2 linked regions of the Drosophila melanogaster genome follow. The protein of the gene in region 1 interacts with the protein of each later gene in a biochemical or structural test. Each region holds a gene or a part of one and is shown in the gene's direction. Other genes may lie near its edges.

Region 1 (9,459 bases):
AAAGCGAGTCAGTGGGGGAGAAAAATAGCAGAGCGAAAATCGTGTGAAATAAAAGTTTGTTTGATTTGCTTTGTGCGGAGGAAGTGGGTGGGCAGCGAGTTCGGGAAGTCCTAGAGTCGTGGTGACAAAAGTACACCGAAAAGAAATGTATGTCACATTCTCGGGATTTTCATATCCACGTATATACATATCAACTGAATGTTCTTGAGTTATTTTCTTTATATACAGTTTTCGATCTAATTTAAAGCCATAAAACTAGTTTACATGCAACTTTTGCTTTTTGTGACATGGAACTACGATTTATTTTTATTAGTGCACTGATAAAATAGCGACTGGGATTCCCATTCTTTTGCCATTCAAGCGAACCAAGTACTAGTACTCACACTATTCAAGTCGGGGAATTTTTTGTTTTATTTGGCAGGATGCTGGCGAAGGTAACCCCAGCCCAAGGACTCTATCGCCACTTCCACAACCCGACTCCACCTCCGTTCCTGTCCCTTCTCCATCCATTGCTATTTCAGTCCTGGCACACTCACATCCGTTGTGATAAAAAGAAATATTTTCTTTTGGCAGCAGACTTTGGCTTTTCTTCTTCGTTTTTGGCCCAATGCTTCATTATTACTATATTTATATTTATTTGCTGTACTTTTTCTTTCATTCCATTCCATTTCATTTCATTTTGCTGACTGGTGACTGCTGACTGTTTAAGGTGGCCCAGAAAGACCATTACGCAAAGGATATTGTGTGGCCATGAATCAATTGGCCAATGTCCACAGAAAAAAGTTATGCCCGGAAATATGTTGAACCGCCAAAGTGATGACATTCCATTTGCATTTTCTAGGCTATTTCATGGCAAAAGGTCGCCAGGCCTCGGCAACCAACATAATCGCATGTAATAAATTTTAATTTTTTAAGCATTTGTAAGCAGTTTTATCAGCCCAACAAAGGACGCACAATATTTTTTTAATGCCAAGCCAGCCGAAAAGAAGGAAAACGCGAAAAGGATATAAGATTAAGACGCCAAGCCAAAGTTGAGACATAAAAAAAAAAAAAACAACGCCAAGCAAATTAGCAGCCTAGAAAGTGGGTGTGGCTGGATGGCAAAGGGGAGGATGTGGTTTATCACGCCCACAGCTCGTCGACGGGATATCCGACGCATGGAAGACAAACAAAAAAGGCATTAAATCGCATTTAAGTCAAAGCGAGCGGCGACAAAGCCGAAAATGAAACCAAATCCCGAATCCTCAGTATCCAGATCGCAGAAAGAAGCCGAAAACATCCACCACTTCAACTTGACTTGGCAGAGACTTTCACGGGAGAACAAGGACAACTGGCACTCGAGACAAGGATGTGTCGTCGATTTCATACAGCTTATCACTCCTTCGAGAAGGATGCAAAGTTGGTGAAAACATTATACTGAATGGCGGTAGAAACTTGTAATTGAATATATGTATGTTTATAAATTATTGTGATTTTTTTATTAAGAGATATAAGGTAAAATACAGCAACTTTGTTTTTAATCCACAAATTTGAGTGTGCACTGTTTTTCGAAAGGTGAACTGCGAACTGCGATAAGAAGCCCACGACGATTAACCGCATGGCCCTATTTTGATAGCATAACATATTAAGAGATTACAAAGTAGAATCGCTTGGAAACAGCGCAAACGAGATCAATGATCGTAAAATGGCATAGTCATAATGGTTTGAGTATTTTATACCTTATCGAGGAAGGAACTTTGCTGGTTGAATTAAAAGGTATCAAGAGGAAACCGAAGTCAGCCAGAAAAAATGAGTTTAAAGGATGGGCGATGGATGACATTACTATGCACATAAAGCGCATTCCATTCGAATGTCCAAAGCCGGGAGCAATTAAAGCGAGCAGCTGTCGCCTCCGCCGTAAATGCAGCGGCTCACAATGCCGGAATGTTTTTTTTTTCACTCCGGCTACAGTGGGTGCAAAAAGGACACCCCTGCGGCACAAAGGAGCAATTAATGCGAAATTGTAGCTGCATAATTGCTGAACATGCAGCAAAAGGGGACGAGTGGCATAAAGAAGCAATTAATGGCGTACAAATGCGCTTGGCATGCATAAAAATGGCAAGTTGGGAAAAAAAAAGGCGTGCAAAGTGCAGCAGAGGCAAATCAAAGTTGCTTTTACTGCCCATTTTCTGGTAGGAAAAACTGAAATCCAAAGGCTGAATGACCCGGCCGGAGCTGCCAAACAATTGCAATTACATTAGAAAAGGAACAGTAGCAACAACAATTACAGTCGAGCCAAGATAGCGATGGCCAAAATTCCTGAATATCATTATCATATCTTAGTTTGAATGTAAAATCGTATCTCATTATCATATCTTAGTTTGAATGTAAAAGGTTGAGAAAGCTTTTACCATTTATCTGCTTATATATGTATAGTTACCAATCTGCAGTAAGAAGCCTTACCACTCTCTTGTTTGCCTTAAATATTTAAAGACATTTGAATTACTTTATTCATATGTTTACCTTGCCGATGAATCGCATTGTCATTTTCTTTGGGATATAGTACATCCCTAGGCGAAATCTAAGCTATGGCCACCCACGTAGCGCTTTTCACTTCCGTTGCATGCCAGGCACGTTGCAAAATTGTCGCAGCACAGACAACCAACCAACAAAAAAAAAAAATGGCAACAAAAATCGCTGGGCGAACACAAAAGCCACGGACAAACGAATTGCCAATTTAAATGTGAATAGAAAAATTGCATCGACTCGCCCATCGCATTGCTCACCCACCCACTGCAATCCTTTATCCTTTCACAATCGCCAATCACTCACTCACGCGAACAATGACGCTGCCAAATGCTACGTGGCCGTCATTTTCCGGCTCCAACTCTGCAACTTTTTGCACTCTAAGTGTATTCACATGTTTATTCTAAGCATTCGTATTGGAATTTTAGATAGACACCCCAAAAAACATGCATAAGCCCATAGATCGATCAGCTTATAAGAAACCGCTAAGATCTTTCAATGGATTTAAGCATAAATATTTCTAAACAAGCACCATTTAACATGCAATTAGAGCACTCACTAAGTTCAAATGAATTAGCAGCAATAATAATGTATTAATTTGTCAAACAAGTCACGCGTTCACCGATTATGCTGATTTCTTGCACATAAACAAATTCATAAATTCTATAACTTATCAGCACAAAGTCGAATTTTTCCATGCTTAGAGATGTTGACTTCCTTGTCCTTATCAGTAAACAAATTTGCATGATGAAATGGATGAACTTCATATTCCTTTTCTTTCTAATTTAATTTTAATTAATAACATATTGCATGTAACTTGATACTTTCTTAACATGCTACAATACAAATGCGAACTGCACTTTGCAAGATGTTTGCTCCGAAAATAGACTAATCAGCGTGGCCAGCAAACAAAAGCCAAAAGATCAAGAAGTGGCTTGCAGAATTGTAGATCAATGAACCAATTAAGATAGATTGACTGGCTTGTGACCCACAAAATAGAAACGAACCGGAGTTACGTACCCTATTTGGTCAGAATCCCGAAAGGCCCCACCGCTTTCGGGAACAATCCATGACAACAATTTATTTAATTTTAATTGCATAATGAGTGAGCGGTTTTTTTAGGAGCTTCTGGGCTGATAAACATATTTTCGCACCAGCAAAATTCATTCAACCCAATCGGGAGTCAAGCGATAGGCCTATAGGATGCACTTTGGGTCGATAGGAATTTCGGGTATAAAAGCTGCAGCGAGCGGACTGAAAAATGCAGTTGCCTGCTGGTCTGTGTTGCAGCAAGTTAAATCCATCTGAGCTCTCCAATCCTTCAGTTTCTCAATTGATCAGTTAACATCAATAGTTGTTACAATCAAGATGAACAGAATCATGCTGTTGGTGGCCTTTGCGGCCGGCGTTGTGGCTGCTGGAAGGATAACTACGAATCAGGACAGGGTCCAGGGTATTGGTAATGTGGTAACGCGCAAATGAAAGGATTTATATACTATTTATTTCCCCTTTTTCGCAGACCGCATGTCCTTGGAGGATCTGCAGCTCCAAAAGTTTATCCTGGATATCGTCCAGAATATTCGTCAGCCTCTACAGCAGAGTGAGCTCATCAATCTAGATGTGGGTCTGATTGCAGACAGTCAGCGTTATCGTGGCGGCATTGATAAGGTGATGCATAACGTCATCGATCTGGATCGCCAGCGTCGCCTCCTCGACGAGCACCAGGTGTACTCCGTGGGTCGTTTGGAGCATGTGCAGCAGCTGCGTGGCATATACCGCCTGCTGGCTCGCGCCCAGGACTTTGACACCCTTCGCCGTAATGTGGTCTACCTGCGCCGTAACATTAACCCTGTCCTGCTGGTTAATGCCTTGGCTCTGGCCATTCGCGATCGTGAGGACACTCAAGCTCTGATCGTGCCCGCTGTCCAGGAGCTGCTCCCCGAACTGTATCTGGATGAGGAAGTGATTCAGCAGGTGCGCAGCGTCCTAAGGGAACAAACCCAGCGCCCATCGCTCATGGACATCGTGGGTATGCGCCAGCGGGCTATGAACCCAGTGATGAGCATCCTGATGCCCTGGAGGGAGATCCACATGCAGATGGCTCTAAGGAAACAGCAGAACATCCAGAACGTTTTGGGCCAGAAACGCGTCGTTGTCCGTGCCGAGAACCAGGGACAGGTTGAGGGCACCTCTCTGCTGACGGACGATATTGAGTTGCAGAACTTTGTTCAAAATCTCATACAGGAACTTGCCCTTCTGGAGGATGTTACTCAGTTGGAGCAGAGCCAATTGATCAACAATGATCAACGTGAAGAGCAATGGGTCGGTCGTCAGCGCGTGCAGTACCAAGATAACAACCAGGAAAGAGATCTGGGTCAGGATGTAGACACTGGACGCCTACTCCGTGTGAGTCGCCGCCGCCTTCTGGAGCAACAGGATGAATATCAGGGTCAGAACATCTATGGAAACCAAAAGGATCGTTTCCAGCGTCTCCTCCGCCGGGATGACGACAACGACGACAATGATGACGATGATGATCAGGATATTCGCATGGGTCGTGTCCAGCTGCAGCGTGGTATCAGCCAGGGAGGTCTCCGCATTGGAGGAGCTCATAACCTGCCCACCGTTAGCGTGAACAGTGACCGTCTGCTTCACGTGAGCCGTCGCCGTTTGAACGCCATCCAACAAGATCAGCAGCAGGATCAGCTGAACGGTCGCCAGCGTTTCATGGGTTTGGTGAGAGGAGACCGCCTCAGTGAGGGTCGTCGTGTTGGTCAGCTGGATGATGTGCGTCAGGAGCGTCAGAACAACTGGCAGAAGCAGGACTACATCTTGACACAAGGTCGCACTTTCGGAGTCCAGCAGGAGCGTCAAAACTATGCCGATCAGTTGGAGAGCGTGAGCCGCGACGACGAGCGATTGGTGCATATTAACCGACGCCGCCTCAACCAGGACAACCAGGACATCCAGCAACAACAGATGCATTTTCCCCGCAGGATTAACTCCATTGGCGAGGGTCGCCGCGTCATGGGTGAGCGCCCCATCCAAGATGAGGACATTCTGAAGCTAATCCGCGGCGAAAACCGTCTGAAGCTGATGACCGATGATGAGATCCTTGAGATGCTGCAAAGGAACCGCCAGCAGCGTCTGCAAAAGCACCAGAACGATGATGATGACGATGTCAACGATGACGATGTGAATGTGGTGCACCGACAGGGACTACGAAGCCGCCGCAGCCTTCCCAATCTCCGTCAGCAAAACAACCGCCTCAGCGAAATTGTCCTGCACAATCTTCGCCAGCTGGTCGCACGTCTTAACCAGGAAAGCATCGCCCAGGGACAGCTGATCGAAGAGCAGCAGCAGTTGATCAACAATCCCCGCCTGACGCAATCCGAGCGATATGCCCTCCGCTTGAACCAAATCCGAATCAATTCCCAGCGCAGCCGTCAAGTCCTCGCCCAGATCGGCCAGATTGAGCAGCGTATCCAGGAGGTTATTGGTCAGGTGCTGAACCAGGTGAATGTCAACTCGCTGCGTGGCCAGGTAATCGATCAACGCCAAGTGGAATCCCTGATCGCCGATGTACTGCTGGGTCGCCTTGGTCAGGTTGGCATCATGACCATTATCCGCCAGGTGGTCCAGGACAACAACATTGAGCAAATCGATCGTACTGGCTTGGGCATCCGCCTCAGCGATCCCGTCGTGCAGTACACCCTGCGCCGGATTGTGAGGATCGTGGACGAACAGCGTGAACAAATCCTTGGAGGCTACCGCCAGGAGCAACTGCAGATGCGCGGTGTTTCGATCAACGATGTTCGTGTGGATAAACTGCGCACTCGCATCGAGGAGCACGAATTGGACCTGAGCAACTTGGTCGAGCAGCAGGTTCAGGGCATCCAGCAGGAGATTGTGGGACGCCAGCGTCGCCTCAACAACAAGGCCTTCACCATTGACATGGACATCACTTCGGATCAGGATCAGGATGCTATTATTCGCATCTTCCTGGGACCCGCAGAGGATCAACAGGGAAGGCAAGGAGCTTCCCTGGATGAGCGCCGACGTGACTTCGTTCTTCTCGATGCCATCCAAGTGCAGCTGGAGAATGGACGCAACCGCATTCATCGCAGGTCCATCGATATCCCCTGGACAACTAGCGATGTGACGCCCCTGGTGGAGATCTACCGCCAAGTGATGCTGCAATTGAAGGGTCAGCAGGCGCAACAGGTCGTGGGTATCCAACAGCTGGTCGGCGAGAACGGACGCTTCCCCCAGCACTTGCTGCTACCCCGTGGAAGGCCCGAGGGTCTCCCCATGCAACTCCTGGTCGTGGTTTCTCCTCTGGTTGAGCTGCAGGTTCAGGACGTCGTTCCCGCTATCACCATTGGCATTGGCTCCGCCTCTCTTCGTGATGCCCGCCCATTGGGTTATCCTCTGGACCGGCCCATCCATAACGAGCAGGAGCTCCTGCAGTTGACCAATGTCCTGCTTCAGGATGTGGTCATCATTCAGGAGAACTAAGTTCCCAATACGAAGTTCCAAATATGTTAAACCGATCGTCTGGCCAGCTGCTATTCAATGGACCTATCCGAAAATCCCCTGTCGAACCCTAGTTTTAATTAATCGAATCTAAATCAATTTAGCAAAATAGCAAAATGTTAAATACTCTTGTAATTCATATATATATATATATATATTTGTCATTAAAGTTTTTTGCAAGCAATGCAATGCAATCAAGCATTAAACTTTTGTTTCATATTGGCCGCAAAAATAAGTTAACAAAATGTTCACTGGTAAAGTTATAAAGCCCTGATCATTGCCTACACAAATTGTATCCTTTTGGGAAAACTCTTGCTATTAAGGGCTCCCCTAAACCTCCAATTTTGCTCCTTATTGAAATTGTCACTTTTCTCGATTATCCCCCAAAATGGTTTTATCGTTTTATCGCACCTCATATACCCAAGTGCCGTTCACCTTTTCTAATTTCGAAAAACAATTTCAATGCAAATTGCATGTCCATCGTGGAGCGGGATGAGGGGCATTGGAATTGCTGATGGTAGGGATTACAGGCGGCTGCCACGCCCCCAAACAATGCCCGCCCACAGAACAAGCGGATGCCAGGATAGCCAGACAATGCAACGACCAAATGGCTGGCAGGCAACCCATCCTGGCACTATAATAGACTTTTCTTATTCTTGCCACACAACTCAATTTGCAACAACGACAGGGAAATACGTATACGAATACATATACATATATAACTGAACCATAGCGCAGACGCCCAGCGAAGCGTCAATTGCCAAATTAATTGGCCGTAAAAAATTGAAAATGAAAATATAATCACACTTTCCGTTGTCGAGCTTTCGTTGTCACTGGCTGGCTCAGGTCCAAACGGATCCAAACGGCTTTTCACCCTCTATATGTATTTGGTCCGCTATAGAAGCGTTTTCCCATCACGCCCGGATCTAGAAGCGAATCCTGGGGATTGGGGATATGGGGGCAGCTGGGAAGTCGACCAACCAAAGAACGGTAGACATTTCACCGCAGGCAGTTAAACGTTGCATTTTTCCAGGTTGCCCTGTCCTCACACCTGAGGTGATACCCTGTGGCATCTGAATACTACAAGGGTAGCACTGAAACCTAATACAATATAATATATATTGCTATTATTATTATAAAATTGTTAAATTTATCTAATATATTTTTTAGGTTTTGTATTCGTTCCACACAAGTTCCGCTTTCATCAACAAAGTGAAATTGTGGTATCTTAGCTGCAAAACTTACATACTCGATAAGTTTTTTCGAAATTATTACCGAAATTATTATTATTATTACTTTCGCGTCTATGGTTCTAAGTTTTCAATTTGAAAAAGAGCTACAACTTAGTCGATCACTTCTTAGTTTCTCGCCTTGTTCTTGGCAAAGAATGTGGCACGTTGCATAATGGAAAAATGTTCGCACTCGACCTGATACTGTTTCCCCGACTTTTACCGCCTCAATGCACTTTCATTATCTTCGAGTGGGTTCGCCGTTCATTCCATTTTATTTTGCTGCCACCGCTGTTGTTGATGTGCCTTTTTTGTATTTTGTAATTTGAAATTTAAAATCTTGTTTTCTTTAGTTTGTTGTGTCTGATGAGCTGATTAGGGGCTCCAGAGAGTTGGGGCATTACACGAGCTATTAGGCAGCCGCCTAATGCGAAAGTAATTATGTCTTGTTAATCAGACAGAGGCTGTTTGGGGCCAAAGGCTATTTAACCCGTAAGTTTATCGGTTCATGCCCTTTTCCTCCCATTCCCAAGTCCGAATTGAAGGTAGCTGAAAGGCGAAAACTTTTGTGATTAGCGAGCGCCCCTTTGCAGCGGTGCAGATAGCGTCTTAAGAACATCCCGAAAAGAACACTTTAAAATATATTTTAAAGATTTGAAATAAGAAGTATTACTTCATAATTAGTTACACAATTTACCACATTTGTTTAGTTTTATAATTTAATAAATATGCTTGCAAAGTACAGTTTAGGTAACATTACAAAATTAATACTCATAAAAACTGATTGTTAGTTTCCTAAATTACCAGTTTATACCAAAAACAAAAATCAAATATATAAGTAAATGAACGTAATGACATGATATACTTCTAGAAAGTACATCTCTTCAGAGATCTTGTTTTAATTAAAAAATTGTATAAAATGCTTCTCACTTTCACCAAACCATTCTGATTTCGGCTGAGTGCTTTTGAGGCGGAAACGCTCGTATAATTTATGTTCTGCCTTGGCGCTCTGGCAACGGAAATGCCGGCGCGTAGTTTTGCCGCGCCCACGAACTCATACCGAGATATTTGCCAAATTTCATAGCATACTATTCAGCGGCAAAAGTTTGTGGCACGCAAATTAGCGGCCACGTTTGTTTCGCCGCGGGAAGTGGCACGGGGCATGTTGCGAAACTTTTTCAGTTATGAA
Region 2 (8,691 bases), on another chromosome or scaffold:
TTCTATGCTTTTCGATCTGCGATCAGTCTCCGTCAGCAACGGAGATACCGAGAAGGGAGAATTGTCCAGAAGACCCGTAAAATGTTACATCTTCTGGATGCTGAAGATTCACCGATGGATGATGCCCCTCATCTGGGCTAATCCCCTTCCTCACACACATACACACACATATATATATATATATATATATGCATATATACCATACCGATTTCAGCGTTGACAAACTTTGGCTTTTTTTGATTCTAAGCGGCTGCGACGCCGACAGAGGCTCAGTTCGTTGTCCGGTTCCTATTTCTGTCGACTTCGCTGCCGGCGTCGCTGATAATACCATATATAAGGAAACAAGAAGTCGCATCGTTTGTATTTATTTGCTAGAATCTGTGAGCATCGGAACTAACCGAGCCGCTACAATAAAAAAAAAAAAACATAAATTAGTCCTCGTTACGAAAAAAAAAACACACATAAAAATGAAGAGTTTTGTAAGTGCCCGAAAGTACTGAAAAGTATATATTTAATGAGTTATTTTTTTTTTTGTGGTGTCTCAATAAAAAAAAGGATCAAGTGAAAGTGCGCGCAAAAAATGTCCTTCAAAAGTGTGAATACTTTTAAGCCACAGAAATGACTTTAAAGCTTATTTTGAATCTCAAACAAAAGATACACATTAAAATCAATTTAACCGAAGTTCCTGCGAGGCTGCTTTTTAGTTTTTTTTAAGCTTTACCTAAGAATTAGTATGCCAAATTAAAGAACTAATGACCCACACTTTAAGGAAAGTCCGAAACCTAAAGTGTTTGAATATCACCTTGAGCAGCCGCATAGCTCATCGACGTCAAAACAGACGAATGACAAATATCGAAACGGTTGGAACCCATTATGATTAGTGCCTCGGCCCGAAACCAAATCAAATAAATCACAGCAAATATAGATAAAAAAAATTAAAAAGACTAAAAAAAAAACGAAAAAAAAAATAAATAAACGAGAGAATTGCGAGACAAAGCGACGCTGTGCGGTCAGAAACGCCAGCGATTCGCGCGCGACTTTGATTAATTGCCCGTTAATGCGAAATGCAAAATACGAATCCCAATTCAAATCCAAATCAAAATCCGTATCCAAATCCGAATGCGAAAAAAATAAATCGTAACGACTGTGATCCACAGATATGACTAATGCATCGTGTGACAAGTGGCACTAACCAGGCATTCTATCTTTTAGCTGATCCTTCTGGGTTTCGCTGCTCTGGCCGCTGCCGATGTCAAGCATCTGACAGATCGCAATCTGGACCTCTTCAAGTACAATCCCAGCGATATCTACACCCTGCCCGAGGACATCGATGACGACAAGCCGGCGGTGCACTTTAGCGGCGATGTCATGAAGGCCAAGACCGAAACCCTCCAGAACTACAACTCGGGCAAGAAATTCAAGCTGGAGTGAGTATCTATGGTACCTATATAGTTCATAAAGTGATAGTGTTTGGCTAAATTAAAACATAATTATATATTTATATATGAAGTTGAATCGCAGTCTAAAAGAAAACTACTTTAACATAGGTTTATAGATCTGTAATAACTTTTGATGCATAGCAAATAAATTCAAGTAATTTGATATATTTTTTTAAATAATTTACAAAGCATCAAGTAATTTGATATATTTTTTTAAATAATTTACGAAGCATTACTAAAGTTAAAATGAACTTTTTTTTCAGACTGAAGACCCAGAACGGCATCGAAGTGAGCAGCGTGGGCAAACTGAAGGACGACAAGACCTTCGTGGTCAGCGGCTCCTACTCGTTCACCGGCGCCGATGGCAAGCGGTACAAGACCCGTTACACCGCCGATGAGTTCGGCTATCATCCCATCACCGAGCTGGATCTGGACATTCCCGAGTGAGTAACCAATACACTTTACAAAAAAAACGTTTAAGAACTTCTTCAAACTAGCACATTTGCGTACAAATCAGAAGTTTCATACACTATTATTGCAAATGATATAATGAATATAAAAAACTTATTTTATATTTATATATTTTAGACCCCAGCCTTTGGCTTCTGCCGGACAGCGCCAGACCGTGGATCCCAGCAGCCTGTTGGGCAACAAGAACCGTTTCCAGTTCCTGCAGCAGACCCTGGACTCCGATCAAGGATCGCAAGGTCCTCTGAGGGGCAGTGGACAGAGTGGCGATGACTATAGCTACACGTCTCCCTATGGAAATGGCAATGCTTACGGTAATGGAGTTGGAAACGGATACGGAAATGGAGTTGGCAACGGATACGGAAATGGAGTTGGAAACGGACAAGGAAATGGAGCTGGAAACGCATACGGAAATGGAAATGGAGTTGGAAACGGATACGGAAATGGCAACGGCAATGGCTACGATTATCAGCCACCTCAGGTGCCCCTGGCGACGCCATCTCGTCTGTATCTGCCCACCGCATAAGGCGATTATTATTTAGATATACCCTTATCCAACACCCTTCTCCCGCAAGATTTATGCCCCACCCGATTCCCGATTCCTGATTCCCGATTCCCGATTCCCGATCCTCGATTTTCCCCCCAGCTGCAAGTATTTAGTTTTTAAGTGCAACTCCAACAGGCAAATGAAGAGTAAAACAGAGCTAGCGAAATTTTTTTTTATCATTTTTTAGTGTTATACACGGAGCACAATTTTATATGATATTATACACTGATATATGTTATATATCTAGCCTACACAAAAACACGCACACACACACACAAAAAAAACAAACACACACACAAATCCCGAGCAAAGACACAAACGAATCTATGTATATACACTGAGTGATATTAGTAGTAAATAAAATGGCTAAACTAACGATCAAAGTTTTAATGTGTTTTAATTGAGGAATAATATGGATGGGGATATTTATATATATATTTTGGCTTTGTAATAAAATGTTATTGCAAGCAATTGTTGAAATTTTATTCAGCATCGTTACAAAAAAAAATTCGTTGTTTCAGAATAAAGTTAAGTTTTATTAACTGAAAATGAATAGTTTGTTTACTGTTTTATAAGCATGGCATATACAATTTTCCAACTTAGATACAGAATCTATTATTACAGATTATGATTTTGTTCGAATGCCTAAAAGCATGCAACAAACGTATGAAATTCATCTGCATCTACATATAAATATATAAATTAAAGCGATATTTAATGACTTCTAGTTAAGGCTCTTAGCAGCAGACAAGTTTGCTTGATAAATTCGTTATGTATATGGAATTTAAAACTTTTTTAAAAACGGAATAGAGTGGTAGCCAAATGGTCAAAGTTATGACATTGCTCATACGCCACGTTGTACACACTTTTCTCAAAATAATGCCTGCCAATGCTTAACTTTAGTTCGTAATATGTATATGATTGGTAATATCTCTATATTATATACATATAAATAATTAAAATTCAAAGCGATTGAAACTTGTGCAGAAATTGCAGACAAAGAACCGAATCTAACGCTATTTTTGGAATGCAAATCTGGACTCGATATGTAGGGACCAACGTAGGCTGTCCAGAGATAAGCTGTTGCGGTGCAGTAGCAACAGATGTTCGTGGCGAGCACCTGAGATACACCCGATGATCCCTGATCCCGTCGTCACAGATATGTTATTTCCGATTACCGCGGGAATCTGTGGCTATATAAGCAGACCCGTGGGCGTCGGTAAGGCAACAGTCTTTAGGCATTGGATCCATCAAGTGCATCCGATCCGGAGCAGTTAAAGTTGAGTGTTTCGAACAAAAGAAGGAGTTTCCAGGATGAAGTTTGCCATCGCATTCCTGGCTTGTGTGGCCGTGGTCACTGCGACCGCTTACCACAAGACCCACGACATCAAGGTCGCTGACAAGGCGTTCCTGATGAAGCAGAAGTTCCTCTTCGAGATCGTCTACCGCGTGGAGGATCCGCTGATGTTCGAAGAGTACATTGCGATGGGAAAGCAGTTCTATTTCGACAAGGAGCACTACACGGTAAGTGGGAGAAGAAAGCGGATTCCGAGTGGTCAGTACCACAAAATGCACCTTCAATTCTTCGCAGCACTTCGATCTGTACATGGAGAAGTTCTTCGAGGCCCACAAGGCACACGCTTTGCTGCCCAAGGGCGAGTTCTTTGGCGCCCTGGTTAAGCACCATGCCAAGCAGGCACGTGGACTCTTCAACTTCTTCTACTACGCCAAGGACTGGGAGACTTTCATGACCAATGTGGCCTTCGCTCGTATGCACTTCAACGAGGGCATGTTCGTCTATGCCCTGACCCTGGCCGTGATCCATCGCGATGATTTCCATGGACTCGTTCTGCCCGCCATCCATGAGATCTTCCCGCAGTTCTTCTTCAACAGCAAATTTGTGATGGAGGCCGAGAAATTCGACTATGAGATGTGGATGAAGACTAGCCTGTACGAAAAGGAGTATATGGATGTGTACCACAAGATTCCAACTTTCTCCTCATACGAACATGGATACAAACAAGGAATGGCATACGGATACGGTAAGACACACGGACATGGACAGACATATGAACACGAATTTGGCAGCATGTACCAGACCAGCGACTACATGTACATGAAGGACTTCAAGACATGGCAGTGGTGGAAGCTGATGGGTCTGGGCGAGCACTGGTACAGTGAGAGCAACTACATACTGCGCGAGAACATCTACGAGTACAACCAGGAAAGCAACTGGCTGACGATGATGAAGGACGTGAAGAAGTTCTACATGCCGGTGGACTATAGCCGCGATCTGTACCTCTACAACGAGGAGTCCAAGCTGTCCTACTTCACCGAGGATCTGGGATGGAACAGCTACTGGTACTACTTGAACATGGACTACTCCTTCTTCCTGGACGGCAAGACTTTTGGCCTGCAGAACGATCGTCGCGGTGAATGGTGGCTGTACAATGTGCACCAGCTACTCAGCCGATACCACATGGAGCGTTTGTCCCATGGCCTGGGCGAGATTCCTCAGTTCTCCTGGTTCCACCAGATCGAGATGGGCTACGATCCACAATTGATCTACTACAACGGCATTGGCTACAGCTATCGCAAGAACTACTATGAACTGGAGACGTACGGCAACTTTGAGATGCTGGACAAGATCACCGGCTTCCAGCAACGCATCCAGAACATCGTCGAATTGGGCTACTACCAGACGACCGATGGTCATATGATCGATCTGCGCAAACCGGAGTCCATTGAGATCATCGGTAATATGCTGCAGGGCAATGTGGATGCCATTGACAACATTTTCTTCCAATTCTGGTACATGCTGGCCCATATGTACTTCGCCGATACCCACTACTATCAGATGGAGGTGTACCCCAATGTGATGCTAAACTTCGAGACAATGATGCGGGATCCCATGTTCTATATGTTCTACAAGTCGATCGCACAGGTCTACTTCCAGTTCATGCACCATCTGCCCAAATACACCAAGGAGCAACTTCTCATGCCGGGCGTTACACTGAAGCATGTGGAGGTCAGCGAGCTGGTTACCTACTTCGATCTGGTTGACTTCGATGTGACCAACATGCTCAACGGCAAGATGGTCTTCCACGAGGGTCAATTCTTGTGGGACAAGTCCTTGTTTGCCCGCCAGATGCGTTTGAACCACAAGCCCTTCAGCTACACCTACACCATCGATTCGGCCAGGGATGAGAAGGTGGTCATTCGCGCTTTCCTGGGACCCAAGTTCGATGAGTACGGCAGGATGATCTCGCTGACGGACAACCGCATGAACTTTATGGAAATCGATGAGTTCACCTATACCCTGAAAACGGGCAGCAACCTGATCACCAGGAAGTCAACGGACTTCGCTTGGACCGTCAAGGATCGCACCACCTACACTGAGCTGTACTACTACACGATGATGGCGTTCGATGGCAAGTATGATTACCCGCTGGACCTTACTGAGCCCCACTGCGGATTCCCCGATCGTCTGGTTCTGCCCATGGGCTGGAAGAAGGGCATGCCCATGCAAATGTTCTTCATGGTGGTTCCATACATGGCGCCACAGCACGAGCAGTTCTCCACTTTTGACTACACCTACTCGTGCGGCATCGGATCCGGAGCTCGACACGTGGACAGCCTGCCTTTTGGATATCCCTTCGATCGTGAAATCAACGAGTACGAGTTCCACGTGCCCAACATGTACTTCAAGGATGTGACCATCTATCATGCGGATACAATGGAGAAGTACTATAACTACAAGGAATACACCAACTACGGTCACTTCGATTACTCCTTCTTCAACGACTACTACACCAAGTACTTCAAGTTGTAGATCTGATAACATTCCGATTTTGACCATGGATCGATTGTAGTTAGTAAGCATAGCAAAAAGTGAAATAAACTTTCGAAAATCCAACGTATTCAGATTTCTCTGTTCAGCTTGTCAAAGGGATCGTTAGATAGCTGGTTCAACTTAGCCAAGCTATGATAATAACCGACAATGGAGGTCTTTGCAAAACAGTTTTTGCTCTACATTGTATTTCTAGCAAAAAGTCGATTTTATATATTTCTTGTCCAAAAAGAATCAATTTTTTGGCATAACTTTAGAAATAATAATTTCAATCTAGAATGAAATACCTTGTTGATCTCGTATTGAAATTCCCAATCGAACTACTAGGAAAAATGCGAAATGTAGTTTTTTGCCATTTTTTGCAAATTTTGATGATGACCCCTTACAAAAAATGCGAAAATTGGTCTAAAAATAAATTTTCCTAAGTCCTTCAAAAAATGATAGGGATCGTTAGGATTGGTAATTAGCTGCTCAAAACAGTTATATTGTCATCTATATGACAAATTTTAGCGATGTTATGACGAAAATTCCGTTTGTAAAATCAAGTTTTTGGTAAAAACCCGTTTCTTTCAAATTTCGGTCAATAAATAATCCGTTTTTTTGCCACAACTTTTAAAATAATGGCCCCAATATGGAATGTCATACCTCGTTGAGCTCGTTATTTAATTCCAAATCGAACTGTGTCCAAAAATTGGAATTCTATTTTTTCGCCATTTTTTGCAAATTTTGATGATGCAAAATTTACAAAAAATGCAAAAATTGTCAAAAAAATAAATTTTCCTAAATCCTTCAAAAAGTGATAGGGATCGTTAGCATTGGTAATTAGCTGCTCAAAACAGTTATTCTTTCGTCTATATGACATTTTATAGAGAAGTTATGACGAAAATTCCGTATGTAAAATCACGTTTTTCGCAATACCCGTTTTTTTAGAATTTCCGTCAATAAATAATCCGTTTTTTTGCCACAAATTTAAAAATAATTGCCTGAATATTGAATGTCATACCTCAATGAGCTCGTAATTAAATTTCCCATCAAACTGTGTCAAAAAAAAGGAATTCTATTTTTTTGCTATTTTTTTCAAATTTTGATGATGTTACCCCTTACAAAAAATGAGAAAATTGACTCAAAAATAAATTTTCCTAAATCCCTCAAAAAGTGATTGGGGTCGTTAGCAATGGTAATTAGCTGTCCAAAACTGTTTACATTACATCTTAATGATTATTATTAGCAAAATTATGATTAAAATTCCCATCGAAAAATGTATGAAATTTTGCCAATACCGTTTTTCCGATTTTTGAAATTAATATTATCGGTTTTTTTTTAAATAGGTGTCTGAATATATACCTCTTTGAGCTCGTTCTTAAATAATCTATCCAAAATATTCCACATCAAATGTACATACATATGCTTCTCACGTTTTTTACTCATACATAAAAAAAAATACGTCTTTCATAATATAATTAATTACTAATAATTATACAAATATTATAGTTTATATAAAAAAAAATTATTTGTCATCATATTATTGTACTCATTGAAGGGCTTAAAACTCAGCCTGGTAGTATGCAGATGATGGTGAGGCTGTTTCTGAACTATTTCCCAGGAGCAGCTCGATCCGTTTCCTGGCCTCCACAAAGGCGGCCATTACTTCGTCCAGAGTGGTGGCCCTCGAAGTATCCGGATTTGAACTGGATCTGACATCGTCATCATTGCTATCGCCATCGTCGCTACTATCGTTGCCGAGTTCCAGATGGAAGTGGTGATGGAACTGATCAGATGTGTCTATTTGGCGCTGCTGAAGCTTTTGAAGCCGGAGCGAAAGTGTTCCCGTGGTGGTCATTGGCCTGTCAGAGTTGAAGTTCAAACGGGAATGCATTTCCGATTGCCGATGTACATCGAAGAAGGACTCAAAGTCGAACAGCTGACGACCGCCTATGAAATACCGATTGAGGGCATCCAGCCAGTTGCCCAGTGGTCGGATGCACTGCAGCCGTATGGAGTCCGTTGGCAGGGCGGATGTTAACGGTATCGCATAGTGAGCATATCCCTCACATCGCTCCCGCTGCCAGCTATCTATGCTGATCACTTCAAAATATAGATGCAGTAGATCAGCCGGATGATGTTGTTCCTCCAGCAGCAGGGTCACCTGCCAGCAGTGACCCAAATGGGCACTCCTCCAGTCGCCGGCATTCCTGCACGTGGCCGTCGCTCCCTGCATGGTATCCACCCCAGGTGTACCCTCATAAAAGGTATTTGCTGGTGCTTTCAGATAGTATCTTACATGTATGTTGGGGTTCTCAAAGTTCTGGCCTTCCTGTAGTTCCAGCAGCAGGCTGACCCGCTTCATCCTCTTGGGCGGCATTTCGAACTGGAGGAGACTTCTCCTC

Evidence for each region. The genes of interacting proteins can lie anywhere in the genome.
Region 2: the proteins of Fbp1 (region 1) and Lsp1alpha form a complex in vitro, tested with the Drosophila melanogaster proteins (one study listed by BioGRID).

The regions. Positions count from the first base shown.
Region 1 is NT_037436.4:14,092,374-14,101,832, reverse strand, and holds Fbp1 (Fat body protein 1), read left to right. Parts: upstream 1-3,779; 5' UTR 3,780-3,873; coding exon 3,874-3,964; exon of another isoform or gene 3,965-4,024; coding exon 4,025-7,023; 3' UTR 7,024-7,244; downstream 7,245-9,459.
Region 2 is NC_004354.4:12,486,615-12,495,305, forward strand, and holds Lsp1alpha (larval serum protein 1 alpha), read left to right. Parts: upstream 1-3,676; 5' UTR 3,677-3,768; coding exon 3,769-3,978; intron 3,979-4,045; coding exon 4,046-6,286; 3' UTR 6,287-6,368; downstream 6,369-8,691. Other genes in the region: Cpr11A (cuticular protein 11A), read left to right, coding at 468-479, 1,213-1,427, 1,703-1,882, 2,028-2,433; Mks1 (meckel syndrome, type 1), read right to left, coding at 7,848-8,691. UniProt on the Drosophila melanogaster protein: Larval storage protein (LSP) which may serve as a store of amino acids for synthesis of adult proteins.